Linked DNA regions of Diceros bicornis minor. The protein of the gene in region 2 interacts with the protein of the main gene of each other region in a biochemical or structural test. Links are inferred from orthologs where the notes say so. Each region holds a gene or a part of one and is shown on either strand. Other genes may lie near its edges.

What was found.
Region 1: the proteins of ITPR1 (region 2) and CABP1 form a complex in vitro, tested with the Homo sapiens proteins (2 studies listed by BioGRID). The link is inferred for Diceros bicornis minor from reciprocal best matches to the Homo sapiens genes ITPR1 and CABP1.

What each region holds. Positions count from the first base shown.
Region 1 is NC_080774.1:17,077,201-17,085,149, reverse strand, and holds the start of CABP1 (calcium-binding protein 1), read right to left. Parts: upstream 3,002-7,949; 5' UTR 2,914-3,001; coding exon 2,266-2,913; intron 1-2,265. UniProt on the Homo sapiens protein: Modulates calcium-dependent activity of inositol 1,4,5-triphosphate receptors (ITPRs). Inhibits agonist-induced intracellular calcium signaling.
Region 2 is NC_080741.1:75,258,228-75,265,801, reverse strand, and holds the start of ITPR1 (inositol 1,4,5-trisphosphate receptor type 1), read left to right. Parts: upstream 1-4,560; 5' UTR 4,561-4,701; intron 4,702-5,486; 5' UTR 5,487-5,562; intron 5,563-7,574. UniProt on the Homo sapiens protein: Inositol 1,4,5-trisphosphate-gated calcium channel that, upon inositol 1,4,5-trisphosphate binding, mediates calcium release from the endoplasmic reticulum (ER).

The DNA.
Region 1 (7,949 bases), on a different chromosome or scaffold from region 2:
GAAACAGAGGCTTAATGAGGTTAAGTGATTCACTTAAAGTAAATAAATGGAACTTGGAAGACATGAAACATATACTTCCTCAGGGCTATACTTTACCCTAAGCAGATCTTATCTGAAAGTTTCTCTATTCTGAACCCTATTCCTCTTCTCTCCATCTGACCTTGTCTCTAAGGACAGAACTCTCAAAGCAAAGAGAAGGGAAGGAAAGACTAATTCCCTTCTGTTGCAGGAGAGTGGAGACTCTGACACAGAAGTCCCAGGCCGGGTTTTGTTGTTGTTGCTGTTGTTTGAGCAGATGCCTTACAGCTGTCAGCAGGAAGCCCAAACCGAATGTGCTGAGCTTTAAAAAAAAAAATGTCTGCAGCTTCAGAGGCAAGAGCTTCCAGAAGGAGGTAGTAAATATTTGATGGGACCTTCCAGCTCTTCCTGACTCAGGTGACCCTGGTGACATTCCAGAACACTGAGCTGGAGAATAGTCTTCATTTAATGACTGAGAAAGCAGGATGAAAAAAGCAGGTAGCTGGCATGCTCTGAGCTCGCAAAGGGCCATGCAGACAAATTCTGCAAGACTGGAAAGAAAGGGCTCTTTTTCCAGGAATGAAGTCAGATCACCAGTAAACTAAATAACCAGAAAGTGTGTGATTCTGGGCCAATGACCTTCCCTTCCAAACTGCCAGATTGTAAACTCGAAAATAGCCAGAACCCTGGCTATCTTGTTCACTGTTGTCTCCCTAGTCTCCAGCAAATGCTTGGGCAAAGTAGACGCTCAAAAAATGTTGGATAAATGGGTGAGTAAGTGCTACAGATTCAGCCACACAGTATTCCTTTTGCAGCCCAGACCCACTCTACAGACCACTCTTGCCCTCACGCTCTACACTTCCTCACTAATACACAAGCCCCTGCAGGGAACTTCTCCCTCAACACCTCACTGCACTAACTCGCACAGCCCTGCATCCAAATCTCTACTCTGGAGAACTGTTTCCAGCTAACTCAGCTAATGAGGGCTCCCCGCAGGAACAAAGCCACACACTGCTGCCCTCTCACACCACCACAGCAGCCTTGTGCAACCCGAATCCATGTGCAGCTGCCTTCATGTCTGACCTCCTCCAGCATCAGCCGCTGCCGAGTAGTATTTTGAAAAGGAATGTGCAGATCTGAAGCAAAACACACACGGCCTCCTTGGAATTCGGATCCAGCATGGCAGGATCAGAGCTTGAAACGGCTTCTTTACGCTACGTCCCAGCACAGAAACGCTCAGGCCACCCTCTCCCCCCACACACCACGCAAACACTCTGATCAGAGCTCCGCATTACACCCCTCCTCGGCTGCTGCAGAGCTGCCTCAACTCTGTGCCAACGAGTTTGACTTAATTAAGGACTCAGAACTAGAGGAAATTCTGGCTTGGCTCAGGAGTTCACAGGCTCCCCAGCAGCACACCTCCAAACTCTAAACCTGGATTAAAGGGCAGATGCCCAGCTGCCTGGGATCCTTGAGAGAAAGGCCTAGAGGAAACAAAAGGAGCCACGGGTGGCCCCTTAGTGACCTTTCTTACCCTAGAATGCACACCAATTCAGGCTAGGGTGTTATTCCACGTCCTACAACTTAACAATTGCCCAACTGCCATCCTAATGGCATCCCTGGAGTGACAATATCCTTAAAACACCCCAGAGTTCCAGTTTGAGCCATGGATCTGTACAGCCCCTCCATGCCTACCCAGACACTTCTTCTCTTTTCTCATATTTTTGAGCCTCCCTCTAGCTTTCTTAACTTTTCCCAGGTTTTAAGGGCCACCACAGGCAATGGCTAGGGTCCTTCATCCCCAAGCAAGGCTGTGTGCCCTAAGGTCGCCACTTTTGACCCCCACATGCCAAACTCCTTGCTGTCTTGGGTCGCTCACTGGCGGTCTTGGCCAGAGGCCAGAGGAGTGGGTTTGGCGCCACCTGCTCGGAGCGCCCCTCCTTGACCCGTGCAAATCTCCGGGCCGTTTGTGGCGGTCGCTTCCTTCCAGAGCTGGCCCATTCTGGCAGGTGGAGGGAGGCTATAGGGTGGCGACTGGCCCAGAAGAGGCCGGGAGCGTGGACAGCGCACAGGGTGCTGAATCAGGCACGGGGGAGGAGAAGCGCCGGCAAGGGCGCGGGCTGCGGGAGGACTAGGGGAGCGTGACCCCGGGGGCCGCGGGCAGCAGGCGGAGGGCTGTGAGCGCGCGGCCGCGGCAGGGTCCCGAGCGCCCTTCCCGGGAGCGCGGGCGGGAGGCGCGGCCCTTACCTGGCCGAAGGCGGAGCTGAGTATGGGGCGCAGCTGGTGGAGGAACGGGTCTGCCTCGGACGCGGCGGCTGGAGCGGAGTCCCCGCGACCCGGGGCTCGCGGCGAGCCCCGGAGGCCGAGCGCCGGGGACAGCCCCCGTTCCTCCCCATCCCGCCCGCGGGCCGGCGGCAGCGGCGACGGCGGCGAAGGTCGGGACGCCGCGGCCGGCAGCGCCTCCCGGGGCCTGCAGTGCGCCTGGGGGAGCCCGCGCCGGCTCCCTCGCGCGCCCTCCTCTCGCGGCGCCGGCCGGCACAGGGGCCTCCGCGAACTCGGGTCCCCGGACGGGGGCGGCGTGCCCGGGCAAGTGCCGGGCAGCCGGCGGCTGGGCAGCACTGGCTCCCGGGCAGGGCCGTGGCGGGGAACCCGGCTGCCCCCGCTTGCCGCCGCCGCCTTCAGCAGCGACGTCTTGGACTCGCTTTTGGCGATGTGCGAGCTCATCGCGGCGGGGCCCGCGCTCGCATGGCCCGGCGGGGGCGGCGCGGTGCGGCGCGGCGCGGGGCCCCCGGCGGGCAGAGAGCGGGGCGCCCGGCGGGAGCCAAGCCCGAGGACGCCCTGGAGGCGGGCGCCGTCCCCCGGCCGCTTAAATGTGGCCCCGTCTCCGCCGCCCATGTGACAGCGCAGCCTCTACGCCCGGAGCCCCGAGCTCCCCGGCGGCTGGCAGTGCGAATCTGGGGGGCCGCCGGCTGTCCCTGGAGAGCCCACCCCCGACTCCCCTGCGGCCCAGGTACCGCCGCGCCCCGCCCCTTGCCCCGCCCCGCGCTCGAGGAGCCCCGCTTCCGGGCGGCCTCTGGCGGCGGAGGGGGCGCTGCGGCGCGGAGCCGGGAGCGCAAGGGAAGGGGCTTGGCGAAGGGCCCCAAAGATGCCCAGACCTTGGCAGCGCCGGTAGTGCCCCTAACACGGCAGGAGGCTCCCATAGTGACCTGGAACCGCCGGACCACCAGAAATGCAGGCTGGGTGCACTCCCCAGGGAGTACAACTTTGGAAATGAGGACGAGAGAGGTGCAGTAAATTAGAGACCCAAGGAGAATGAAGGCACTCTATGACACCACTACGTGCAAACGTAGAGCCAGAATGGCGTGGAAGGACACTGCTGGAAGGAAAGGCTCCACTCTATAGGGCGCTTCATCCACTCCCAGAACCATGGAGTGGCACCAAGATGACCCTGGTAAATCAGCCACAGACCTTTCAGTTCTCAGAACAGAAGAGAAGCCAAGTGGCATCTATAATCTGGACTTTGCAGGGCCTGGTGATGATCAAGTCTCAGGTAGGACCCACTTGCTGCCCCTCAAGCTCTTGTCACCCGTCTCATCTTCATGCCCTTCTAGATGTTAGAGAAATTCCTGCTTTTGGTAGGCAGCCAGGGAGTCACACAGTTCTGGTTTGAATCTCAAATCCCAGCTCTGCCACTTCCCATCTAGGTAACTTGGGCAAGTGTCATCAACCTCTCTGACCCTTGTTTTCCTCTTCTGTAAAATGCAGATAATAATCATAACTAATTTCTTGGTACCATCAAACGACACCATGCACGTACAAGGCCTAGCTTACCTTGGAACAGGGCACACGTGCACTTAAGCTAGTTCCCTTCCCTCTGCACCTTCTGAGGCCCCCTCTGCCACTCTTGCTCAGTAAAGGGATAGTTGAGATTTGCAGGCGGGTGGCATGCGAACTTCCCATGCTCTCCTTGTTCTGGTCTCTGGCCCTGATGCCATCCATGCATGAGAACAGGGCAAGTCTGGTCACCGCTTAGCCTCGACAGAAGGATAGATGGACAGATTGCCAATATGATACACATCACTCATGCCAAGAGTTCACCCTTCTCTACACTGCTTCTTTTCCCTAGCCATATTCAAGGAATTAAGAAACACAGGCTGGGCGAGGAAAGCAACTGCCCAGAGGCCAAAGTGAACAAGGGAAGTGTGGCAAATTGTGCCCCAACTCACCTATTTTAAGGGACTGAATTGCCATATCAAAGCCACTCAAGCACAAATCCTGAGGCAGGCGGGTGTGCAGCAGCCCTGGAGCCTCACTGCAATGTCCATTCAGACATAAAGGGGGTAAAGGGTCCACCCTCCCAGAATTTAGGGTCAATCAGTCTTACCTGTTCCCGCCCTCAGAATAATCAGTGTTCAGCTGGATTAACCACAATGTACGTTCTGCATAAATCACAGGAGACAAATACCTTGTCAGAATCCCTCAGGAGCTGATAAGAGGCAGTGGGCTGAAGGGTATTCTAAATCCCCGTGCCCCTCTTAGTTATCTTTCTGAAATTCCCTAAATAGTCTTGGGCAAGGCCTCTGTCAACTGTTTCTGAAAAAGGGAAGAATCTGGTTACATCATCTATGGTATTAGAGTAAATAAAAGAAATCAAGATTATGTTCATGAAGCCCATCGATGAAACACTTGTGCTCAGATCCTGGATAATCCTGGATATATGCCAAGATGCCATTTCATTTGTAAAATTCATGAATTTGGTCCTTCACTTCACAGATTTTTCTAGAACCAAGCACTGTGTTAGGCACCTGGGATACAAAGATTCATCCATTCATCCACTTGAGTGCCTGTTATCTGGCAGGCACTGTTCTGAACCAGGGACATGGTGGTAAACAAAACAAAGTCTCTTTCTTCAGCCACAAATGAACAACTATATAAATGCATGGAAAATCAATAGTGACACATTGGTGGCGTTTAGTGCTGGGAAGAGAAAGAAAGCAGGTAAGAGGGGAGGGCTTAATGGGGGGGTGCTGTTTGAGACAGGGATTAGGGAAGTCCTCCCTGAGGAGGGGACTTTTGAGCAGAGACCACACTGAAGTAAGGGAGCAAGCCACGCATATATCTGGGGGAAGAGCTTTCCTGGCAGAGGGGAGACAGTTCAGAAGTCCTGAGGAGGGAACAGCCGGCATATTCAAGCAGAAGCAAAGAGACAAGTTGGGCTGGAGTGAGCAGAGGGAGGGTGGTCCAGATGAAATTGGAGAGGAAGGCGGGGGCCAGAGTCAAGGGCACTGGATTTTTCCTAAATGTGAAGAGAAACCACTAGCGGGTTTGTGGTAGAGGAGTGGCATATGGCTGTTTACATTGTGAAGGGATCATTGGCTGCTTTGCAGCAGGTCCACTGCTGGATGGCAGTGTGGCAACATGGAGCCAGTCAGGTGCTGTTGCATGGAACGAGTGAGAGAGGATGGTGGCTTGGACTAGTGTTAGTGGGGGAGGTGGTAAGAAGTGGTCAGATTCGGGAGATGATTAAAGAATTAGGATAAGATTCAGTCCCTGCTCTCAAAGAATTTAAAGAAAAAAAAAAGAGGATACAAGTCACTGTAATATAATGGAAAACAGGCAATAAGGGAATGACTAGGTAGGTTATATGGGAGCACCAAAGCAGAACCTTTAGGGGAGCTGGAGAAGGTGCTAGAGAAGGTGCCATTTGGGCTGCACTTTGAAGGAGAAGTGAGATTCCACCAGATGAATAAGGAAAGTAAAAGGAAGGTCATTCCAGGCAGAGGGGAGAGGGGACAGCTTAAGTGAAGTCTTGGGTCCCTGAACCAGCACAGCAAGTTTGGGAATCATTTAGTGGTTTGGGGGGGTGCGGGGGGAGATAAAGGCTGGAAAGACAGGCCTGGAAAGGTTGTTGGAACTAGACTGTGAAGGATCTTGAATGTGACGTTCAGGAGTTTGTCCTTTATTCTACAGACCGTAGAGAGTCCTTGAAGGTTGTATGAGTTTGTACAGGACATAAGCAGAACTGTGTTTTTGAAGATAATGCTGATGCATTGTGGAGTAGATTAGGACGACACTGAAGGCAAGAGCAATTAGGAAATTAGGTTCATTCATTTAACAAAAACGCTTGGGTGCCTACCATGTGCTAGGCATTGGGAATAGAGCAGGAAATAAGTGAACATCGTGCCTTTCTTTATGAGTTTTAAGTCTGGTGGGGAGGTAATAAGGACTACACACAGAGGCTGGATCAGATTCAGGAAATAGTTTGGAAACACCACCATTAAGACATGGAAAGTTCTGGATGTGGAAAAAGAGAATGGCTTGCCTCTCTGATTGTGAGATATAACGGGAATATGGTTACTGCACAGTATCCTGCCACGTAGAAATAATTTTTAAATAGTCCTTTTGGATTATATATACCTTTATAGCTTTAAAAGCATTTTCACATAAAGCCTCTCACTTGCCTTTATGTGTTGTACAAATTGTAATTATTCAATAATTACATGTTGTTATATTATTTGACTGTATAACCCGTGGTGAAAGTTATGCAAAAGAAGAGCTGTTTTGGAGTGCTGGAAAGACACCCTGGCACACGAGGGCAGTTAAAGAGAGATGATGGGTCTGGGACCATGACATCAGTCTAGAGAGAACAGTGTGTTTAGCTGTCTTGATGTCTCATTTCTAAGAGAATCCATTCGGAAGGAGCAAGGCAAGGTTCAGGGAAAAATTCTTAAAATGTACCCAGGTCTCTCATTTAACGTATCAGTTTGATAATGTCATGTCCCTGCAGCAAACTCCTTTAAAAACTGTTCTTTCCTGACCAGGACTGTATGTCATGTTTAGAGTCTTGAAAAAGGTTGTGGAGCATTTGCACAGTGGTGCTTGAATTAATTCTCCGACGTTTCTTATCTGCCCTGTTCCTTTCTGCTGTTGTCAGAATCAAATTCCGCACTTAATCTCTCCCTTGTTTTCAGATGACAAAATCTCTCTGTTAGGCTCCAGAAAGCTGGGATTACAAAATGTTCTTATGGCTTTAAGTCCTCTGTGGTGATTGGGGAACTCAGGAAAGGACTGGATGAGAATTTTTTTCAAGGGGAGAGGGCAGTCAGTGGACTGAATAGGGGATTCCTTTCCAGAAATCTGCTTTTGGACCCAAATGTTCATCACTTAAGAGGATTCCAAGATTTTTAAAATAAAATGAAAACGAATGTGGGTTATAAGAATATATGCCTTGGGGGCCAGCCCCGTGGTGTAGTGGTTAAGTGCGCACACTCCACTGCTGGCGGCCCGGGGTTCAGATCCCGGGCGCGCACCGATGCACAGCTTGTCAAGCCATGCTGTGGCGGTGTCCCATATAAAGTGGAGGAAGATGGGCACAGATGTTAGCCTAGGGCCAGTCTTCCTTAGCAAAAAGAGGAGGATTGGCGTGGATGTTAGCTCAGGGCTGATCTTCCTCACACACACAAAAAAGAATATATGCATGTACATGAACTGTACACTTAAGACTGTACATCTCACTGTGTATAAATTATAACTCAATAAAAAGGAAAATCAAACAAGCAGGAGAGAGAGAGCAAAAATGATTAATACCGACAAATAGAAACAACTACTGGACTGTCTTAGGGACATAATTATGATTTTCAATATAGTGACCACTGGGGGCTGGCCCTGTGGCTTAGCGGTTAACTGTGCACGCTCCACTGCTGGCGGCCCGGGGTTCAGATCCTGGGCGCGCACCGACGCACCATTTCTCCGGCCATGCTGAGGCCGTGTCCCACATACAGCAACTAGAAGGATGTGCAACTATGATGTACAACTATGTACTGGGGCTTTCGGGGAAAAAAACAAATAAAATCAATATAGTGACAACTGAACTCAGTTGGTAAGAGGCTCTGACAGTGAGGCCAAGGTTGTCACGAGCTGATTCCTATGTA
Region 2 (7,574 bases):
ACTGGTGCTAAAATTGTGAGTATCTGTGTTGTGCTGGGGCAAATGTCCATAGGTTTTATAAGATTCTCAGTGGGCTATGATTCCCTCCCTCCACCACAAAAAGTTCACAATGACCAAGAGCGACTAGTTGGAAACTGGCTACACAGTAGCTATTTCTCTTTACTGATAGTTCTCATGTTCCAGGGCATATATAGGAAACACATCACACCAAAAAATAGATTGAATTCTCTGACTTCAGTGTTGGTCATTCTGTCTTGCCACTTAAGAGTGATTTGGAGAAGCTGTCAATTAAAGTAGTCAAGGCTCATTGTGACATTCATAGGTAATTAAAATCTTTTACCCAGGAGAAAATTGGGACTAGCGCTGCCCCAATAATCTGAAGTTTGGTCTGGAGCTGAGTACTAGACCATGACATATCAACGTTTTCTCCATGCTTGTTGGTGATGTTCTCTCACTTTGGTATAACTAGGGTAAGCTTGCAAAGTCGTTTCATGTCCAATGACTCATTTGATCTGGTCAGGTTGGCAGGGCAAGGATTATTCGCTTTGCTCTATCAAAAAACAGCCTCTGTAAGGTTAGATGACCGGCCACGGTTACATAGATATTAAGGTTGCAGCTGGGTGTCAAACCCACATTTTCTGATCCCTGCTTTCTCCAGCATATCTTGCTGTCTTAATCAGGACAGCATTTGAGGGTGGGATTCTAGGCAGATTAATTCAGTTGCAGTTTTCAGCTGTATACTGCTGATGAAAACCTGTTTCTATTTGTAGGGTTTCCCTGGGGGGTAGGCTGGTGTGCTAGTTTTGGACGTTCTTCAGAATTCTGCTTAGTCTATGATACTATCCTGACTCTGCAAAGCCCTCCTAATTCCCTGCATAGGCATTTCAAGGGCAAAGTCATAAATGGCAATTTTCAGGGCTAGTTGTCATCTTGAATTGGATCTCGAGAATCAGATTCTTGGTTTTCTAGACTAGTGCTGTCCAACAGCATGTAATATGAGCCACACATGTAATTTTTAATATCGTAGTAGTACATTAAATGAGTAAAAAGAAGCAAATGAAATTAATTTAATAATATATTTTAATTCAATATATCCAAAATATTATCATTTCAACATGTGATCAATATAAAAATTATTCATGAGATATTTTGATTTTTTTTGTACTAAGTCTTTGAAATTCAAAATGTATTTTATACCTGCTTCACATCCTAGTTAGAGCTAGCTACATCTTAAGTGCCTAAATGGCTAGTGGCTACTGTATTGGAAAGCACAGGTCTAGAAAATTCTTCCAGGAAAAGAAATACAGTGAAGAAAAAGAAGCCCCCTTCCCTCTATTGATAATGGAGAATGAGTTGGGTAGTGGCTTTTCTTTTTTGTGTGTGAGGAAGATTAGCCCTGAGCTAACATCTGTTGCCAATCTCCTCTTTTGGCTGAGGAAGATTGGCCCTGGGCTAACATCCGTGCCCAGCTTCCTCTACTTTATATGGGACACCGCCACAGCATGGCTTGATAAGTGGTGTGTGGGTCCACACCCTGGATTTGAACCTGCAAACTCTGGGCCGTCGTAGTGGAGCACACAAACTTAACCGCTGCACCACTGGGCCGGCCCCAGTAGTGGCCCTTTTATTATGATATACTTCATCATCAATCATCAATCATACATCATCATAGAGAACCTCTTAGCCTCATAGCAAATTTAGCAAAACTACTTTCTAGTGACCCAGTAGCTTCCAGAACGTGGTGCCAGTTGCAAAATGTTGAATAGGACCATTAACACACATACGTGGAAGAAACAGTCTATTATGCGATTGGGTTATAAGGCTTGTGTGCTCAAAAAATATGTTCATCTAGCCTGCCATATGCCTGACACACCTTCTATTAAAACACTTTTTTCTAACAAATTTTTTTTTATGTATCTATTAAAATGTGCACACAGAAGTCTAGGGCCTGCTGGGCTGGGGCAGGTAGGAACTACAAGCATGAATAAAACATAGTTCCTGCCTTCAATGAAACTTGTGGTCTGGGAGGGAAGACAGTGGCTAAAACAGTTAAGGGTCAAGTGTCCACTGCATGGTGAAGACGAAAATCACCAAACTCCAGCTCTCAAACAGGACCAAGTTTTCTTCAGAAAACACACGTTAAAATTCCATTGTTTTTCTGAATTAGGAGCAAGTGAAATAATTACCCTTTAGTATTTACCAGTTATATTGGCATAGACTTAGTTGTTGAATTTGTTTGAAAAGTAGAGCCAAAAACCCTTTAGAAGTGGAACAGATTGTTTTCATGAGGGAAAAGAAGAGAGGGGACAGCTGGGAAAGGTGTGGACTCCTTTGTTGTGACAGGATGGGGAAATTTCTTGATGATGGGGAGTGGTAGCTTGAGGCATTAGGTAGAAGGCTCTAGTGCCCTGTGACTAGGGGATAATGCTGAAGAGAAGAGGGGCAAGAGTGAACAGAATGAACACAAACTTTGTCTACTTCACAGCTTTGCTCATTCCTGGACTGGTATTAAATGCTTATATGAGCAAATAAATACAATGCATACATTGACACTGGGGAAGCAGCGGAAGGGAGGGTAGTAGTTAAGGTCCAGAGTTCGGGAGTCAGGCAGCCCAGCATCCTGTGCGACTATGGGAAGTTACTTAACCTCTCTGTGCCTCAGTTTTCTCATAAGTAAAAAAATGGTTCGTTATAGGATTTGATGAGATAATGTACATTAAGAGCTTAGGATAACGGCTGGCACGTGGTGTGTACCCCATAAACATAATTATTATTAGTTTTGGCACTAATTATTACATCAGTAATAATTATTAGCTGTGGTGCGCCCCTCATTTGCTCCTGAAGTTTCACAGGCAATCCTGATAGCAAGTAGGATGACAGGAGACAAATGCTCCTGATTGTCTCCCTCTACAATGGCAAAACTGGGGCAACGAGATGAAAATGACTTGCCCAAGGGCTCAGAGGCCACTCCTAAAATGGGGAGGGAGGCCATTTAAGGCAGTGGCAATGGGTTTCCCCAAAGACAAGGGTTTAGAACACTCATAGGCTGGAATTAGAATCCAGGCTGCACCACTTAATTCACGGTGTCATCTCCAGAAGTTACCCGATTGCTCTGAGCCCTCAGCTGTTCACCTGTCAAACAAGGATAATAAATATGCCTAGGGTGGTTAAAACTCAATAGCATGAAAAATGTATGTGGTCTGGGCTTAATAAAATCAGCCTCCCCAGTTACCGTTATTACTATTGTTGTTATAGCAGATCCTACGCAGAGTCAGGCAGTGCCTGCCTGACATGCTGTGCTGGGTTTTGGCTCACCACTGTGGCCCAGAGCCTGGCATAGTGCTTGGCATCCAGTAGACACTTAGGAAACGTTTGTGGAATGAATGCACATCATCTGAGGCAGGGAGGGCAGCCGGCTGACTTGGCCTCGGAGCTTAGCTCTCGCTCTCCTTCCAAAAACAAGAGCCTGAAGCAGCTTGTAGCCCGAGAGCCCAGGCACTAGTTAGCAGTGAGCTGAACCCACCTTCAGTCCCTGAAGCTCCTGTCGGAGCTGCTGGAGGGCCCCCCCGTTTGGACACGCATCTTTGTGTAAGCGGCTCTCTCCGAAGCCCTTGTTTTTCTGGTTTGCGGTTTATTTACTTAAGCATTTACAGCTCCCGGGAGCAGAGGGGCTGCTTGAAGCAGGGTCAGGACCGAGGTCGCGGTCTCTATTTATTTTCTGTCTCCCAATCTCAGCGCTGGCAAGTAACAACACGGCTCCTTTATCTGTGCACCGGAGAGGCTTGCGTTTCTTTACCTCCTGCGGGGCGAAGAAGGACGCACGGAGTTCGGATACAGAAAAGTGTTCTCAAGCCACTTGCCTGTGTCCCCGCTTGCGTGGACCGTCGCTCCCACACTTAGTTTTCTGTGCAAACCAGAGCAAGGCAGAGCAGATTAAATAAAGACAACCTCGCGCCTTTAATCCTTGACCGCAAACACTGGCGTTTTTGTGCCCTGGATTTCTGAAATTCTTGGCTCCGGGACTCAAGGCGGGGGGAGGGTGGGTACAGCTTGTAAAAACTTCCCAAAGCACAAATCCGAGCTCCTCCCTGCCCCTCGCTCCCAGTGATACCTGGATTCAAAGGAAAAGGGGCAGCCAGAGGAGGAGCGTCCCCAGAGGCTGGGGGCGCCCCCCAGGGGTGGCTTTCGATCACGGGCTCCAAGCCAGGCCAGCTACCCCTGAAGACGCGGGTTTGAAGCCCAGACGCCCCGCGCGACGCCCCTCCTTCATCCCCGCGAGCCGTCTATTTAGAGCCCAGCCCGGGAGCCCAGGGGATTCTGGGACTTGTAGTCCTCCCCTGCAGCCCCAGGCGCCGCCACGACCTCAGACTTGGACTACATTGCCCAGGGAGCTTCCCGGCCTATATAAGCAGCGAGGAGCGGCTTCAAAGTGCAGTAAGCATGTGGATGTGCTGCTGAAGCGTTTCCTCAGTCTTGCTGGGGTGGGAGGAAAGGAGGAGGAGGTGGTGGTGGAGGAGGAGGAGGAGGAGGGAGAGGCAGAGGGTGGAGAGAGAGAAAGCGCACGCCGAGAGGAGGTGTGGGTGTTCCGCTTCCATCCTAACGGAACGAGCTCCCTCTTCGCCGACATGGGATTACCGAGCGGCTGCTAACCCCTCTCCTCGCCCTGCTCCCCCAAACCGGCGTGGCTCCCCGGGCACCAAGGTAGCGGCTGGGGCTGGGCAGAGGGCGCGGGGAGTTGGTACTGCACCCCCGGGCGCAGAAGTTTTTGCCCCACTCTCTGGGAGTTCTTGGTGGATTTGCATGCACTTGCATGCATTTGGGGGTTCTTTTACTGTGGGCATTTGGGGGGGGTTCATTTCAGGTAAAAAAATTCTCGACTCCAGTGATTGGCTTTGAGGGCTACCCATTCTAGACTGGAATGGCATTCCCTCAAGTTGGAAACTTGCAGCAACTGCAGGAAATAGTTTTTTTTTGGGGGGGGAGATTGTGGGGGTGTCATATGTGAGTCCGTTCAAGGAAACAGTCTTTCTTAAAATGTAGCCCTCCCTCGAGCTGCATGGTTGGGAAAATAATGCATGTGTGGGGGCCCCAGTGGGGACGGTTTTAAAAAAACGGAAGAAAACCCGGGGAGCGGTGAGGGATGAAGTGTGGACGAAGCTCACGCCCAGTGAGGATGCGGGCTTCGGATACTTGGCCTCCGCTCCGGGAAATAAGTGCTTTGGGATCTGCCAAAGACTTCCCTTAGTTCCAGCTCCCCGGCACGTTCGAAGTTTGTGCGTGCCTCGTCTCACTTGTCAGTTACATGCTGGAAATAAGGAAGCGAAGTTACCTGTAATCTTTGCCCAAGTGATCCGACCCACCTGCCTGTCAAATTTAGGGGGAAGGCTTCTCCAGGAAGGAGGCTAAAGAAGGTGGAAGCATGGAATTTGGAGCATTTCTATTAGGGAACCTTCGCGGTCTCATAGTCTTTCTTTCTAAATACTTAGGAGCTGATTACAGAGGAGCAGGATTCGCACCCCTGGCTTGGCGTGTTTTGGCAGCAGAGTGCCTGACCTGGGTCAGGTGAGTGTGGAAGCCTGAGTGCTGTAGTCAATAATGAGTTTTTGTCCTAAGCCTACTTTAAGTGCTCTCTAAAGAGCCATGGAGATGGGGAGTAGGAAGGAAAAGGAAACTCAATGGTTCAGTCTCCAAAATTTGTCACTGCCTTTGGTGAGGGCTTTTGGGAGCAGAGGAGATCCAAGGGGCAGTCCTACCTTGCACTTTTGGCCATGGCTCGGAATTGAAGCAGAGTGAAGATTTATGAGAGGAGGGGAAAAAAGCCATTAAATAAAAAGGATGCCCATTGGTGGCCTGAGAATTGAACTTGCCAGGCAGCATGTTGATGATTTAAATTCTGAAGGATGCAGTGCATTTCATCTGCCAAGATATGTAAGCAAAAATTAACTGCCTCTCTCTTTCAAAAATAGTCACTTTCTTTTTTCTTACTGTCAATGTGTGTTTAATCAGAGTAGGTTGGATTGCAAGAAATGAAAGTGATTGCTGGTTAATTGAAAGAATTAGAACTTTAGAAAGGGAAGTCAGTTCTTCAAGCATAAGTTAGTAGCATCCAGCCCTTGACTTGAAGCCACTTGGATGTCAAGGAATCTGATAGGTCCCTGTTGTTTAGGTACCTGTAGTGGGATATGACCTGAGGGCAGCATTTTCTGTGAACACAAGCAGCTCCTATTTTTTTCCCCAAAATGGTCAGACTGCACTGCAAGAAAGGGAGGTTTTAACGGGTGCTCGTACATCCCCATTGCTGCAGATTTGGTCATCAAAAGTTTTTTCTTCCGAAATGGTTAGGAACAGGGTAAACAACAGGGTAACGGGTGAGGGACTGGGCCTTGGTAACTTCTTAAACATTCTAAATATTTAGCTGTTCCCTGGGCTACAATGTTTGGGCTTTTCTAATTAAAAAATGAGAGTCAGACACTTCATTATAGTAGTATAGTCCTTTTGTTTCCTGTTGATAAGATCCTCAGGAGTGCTGGTGGAGTGGGAAGCATTTGAATGTATGAGGTCTGGTTCCTTCTTGGAGTTCTATTGACTCCCATGGCTCCATGGGCACTCAAAAGGCCAAGGATTGGGTTCAGTTCCCCTCCTCTCAGTAAGCTGTAGCCAAGGAGAGACTGTTCCACAGACTCTTCTCCAACTGGTTGCTAAAAATAATAATACTGACACATTAAGGACTTGTAAGTCAGATCTAGAGCCATATATCATGGAAACCCTGTGAGTCAGGTACAGGTGAAGAAACTGAGGTGCAAAGAGTGAAATCTCTTACCCAGTAGCTAGTACACAGTGGAAGCAAGGTATAACCCCAGGCTGTGGGGCTCTCCTGTCCTGTGTCCCACAGATGCATCTAAGTTGGGGGGTGGGAAATGGTGAGGGAGAAGCTAGGAAAAATGGTAAACTTATTGCTGTTGATGAAATAACTCTTGCTTATGTCCCACCAATGATGCATGAACAATACTTATCTTGATGTAAGAAGGAAATAATTTTGCTCTGACATAGGGATGAAAGAGTGTGGATGTTTGAGGAGGTGTTAGGTGTTGTACTGAGTTTGTTTTGGAAAGCTGTATGCTGAAAGTCTGAATGAGGAGAGTAAAAGAAACCAAACCAAACCACAAGGAACATTAAGTTCAGCATTAGATTCATCTCATACCTGAAATCCATCTTGATCATCTACATCAAGGCATCTGAGCAGGTTGAAAGAATGAGGCGTTTCTCCATCTGAATAATTCGAAAGTTTAAATTACAGTGAGTCTGAACTGTGAAATGTTATCTTTTCATATATCCTTCAGTTTGCTTTGTGGCCACTTGTGCAGAACGCTTTTCTTTTTCATTTCTTTCTTTCGTGTGTGTGAGTTGAAAGTACAATCTGTTCTTTGAATAATTCAAATCAAAACAGACTATCCTATCAAAATTTCCTTCTTATCGGACAGGGAAAGTTCTTCATGCTGTAAATGAATTACTACTGGCCTCCACTTTGAGACCCGTGAAAGTTGTTTGAGGTTGACAATGGTATCATCCATTTC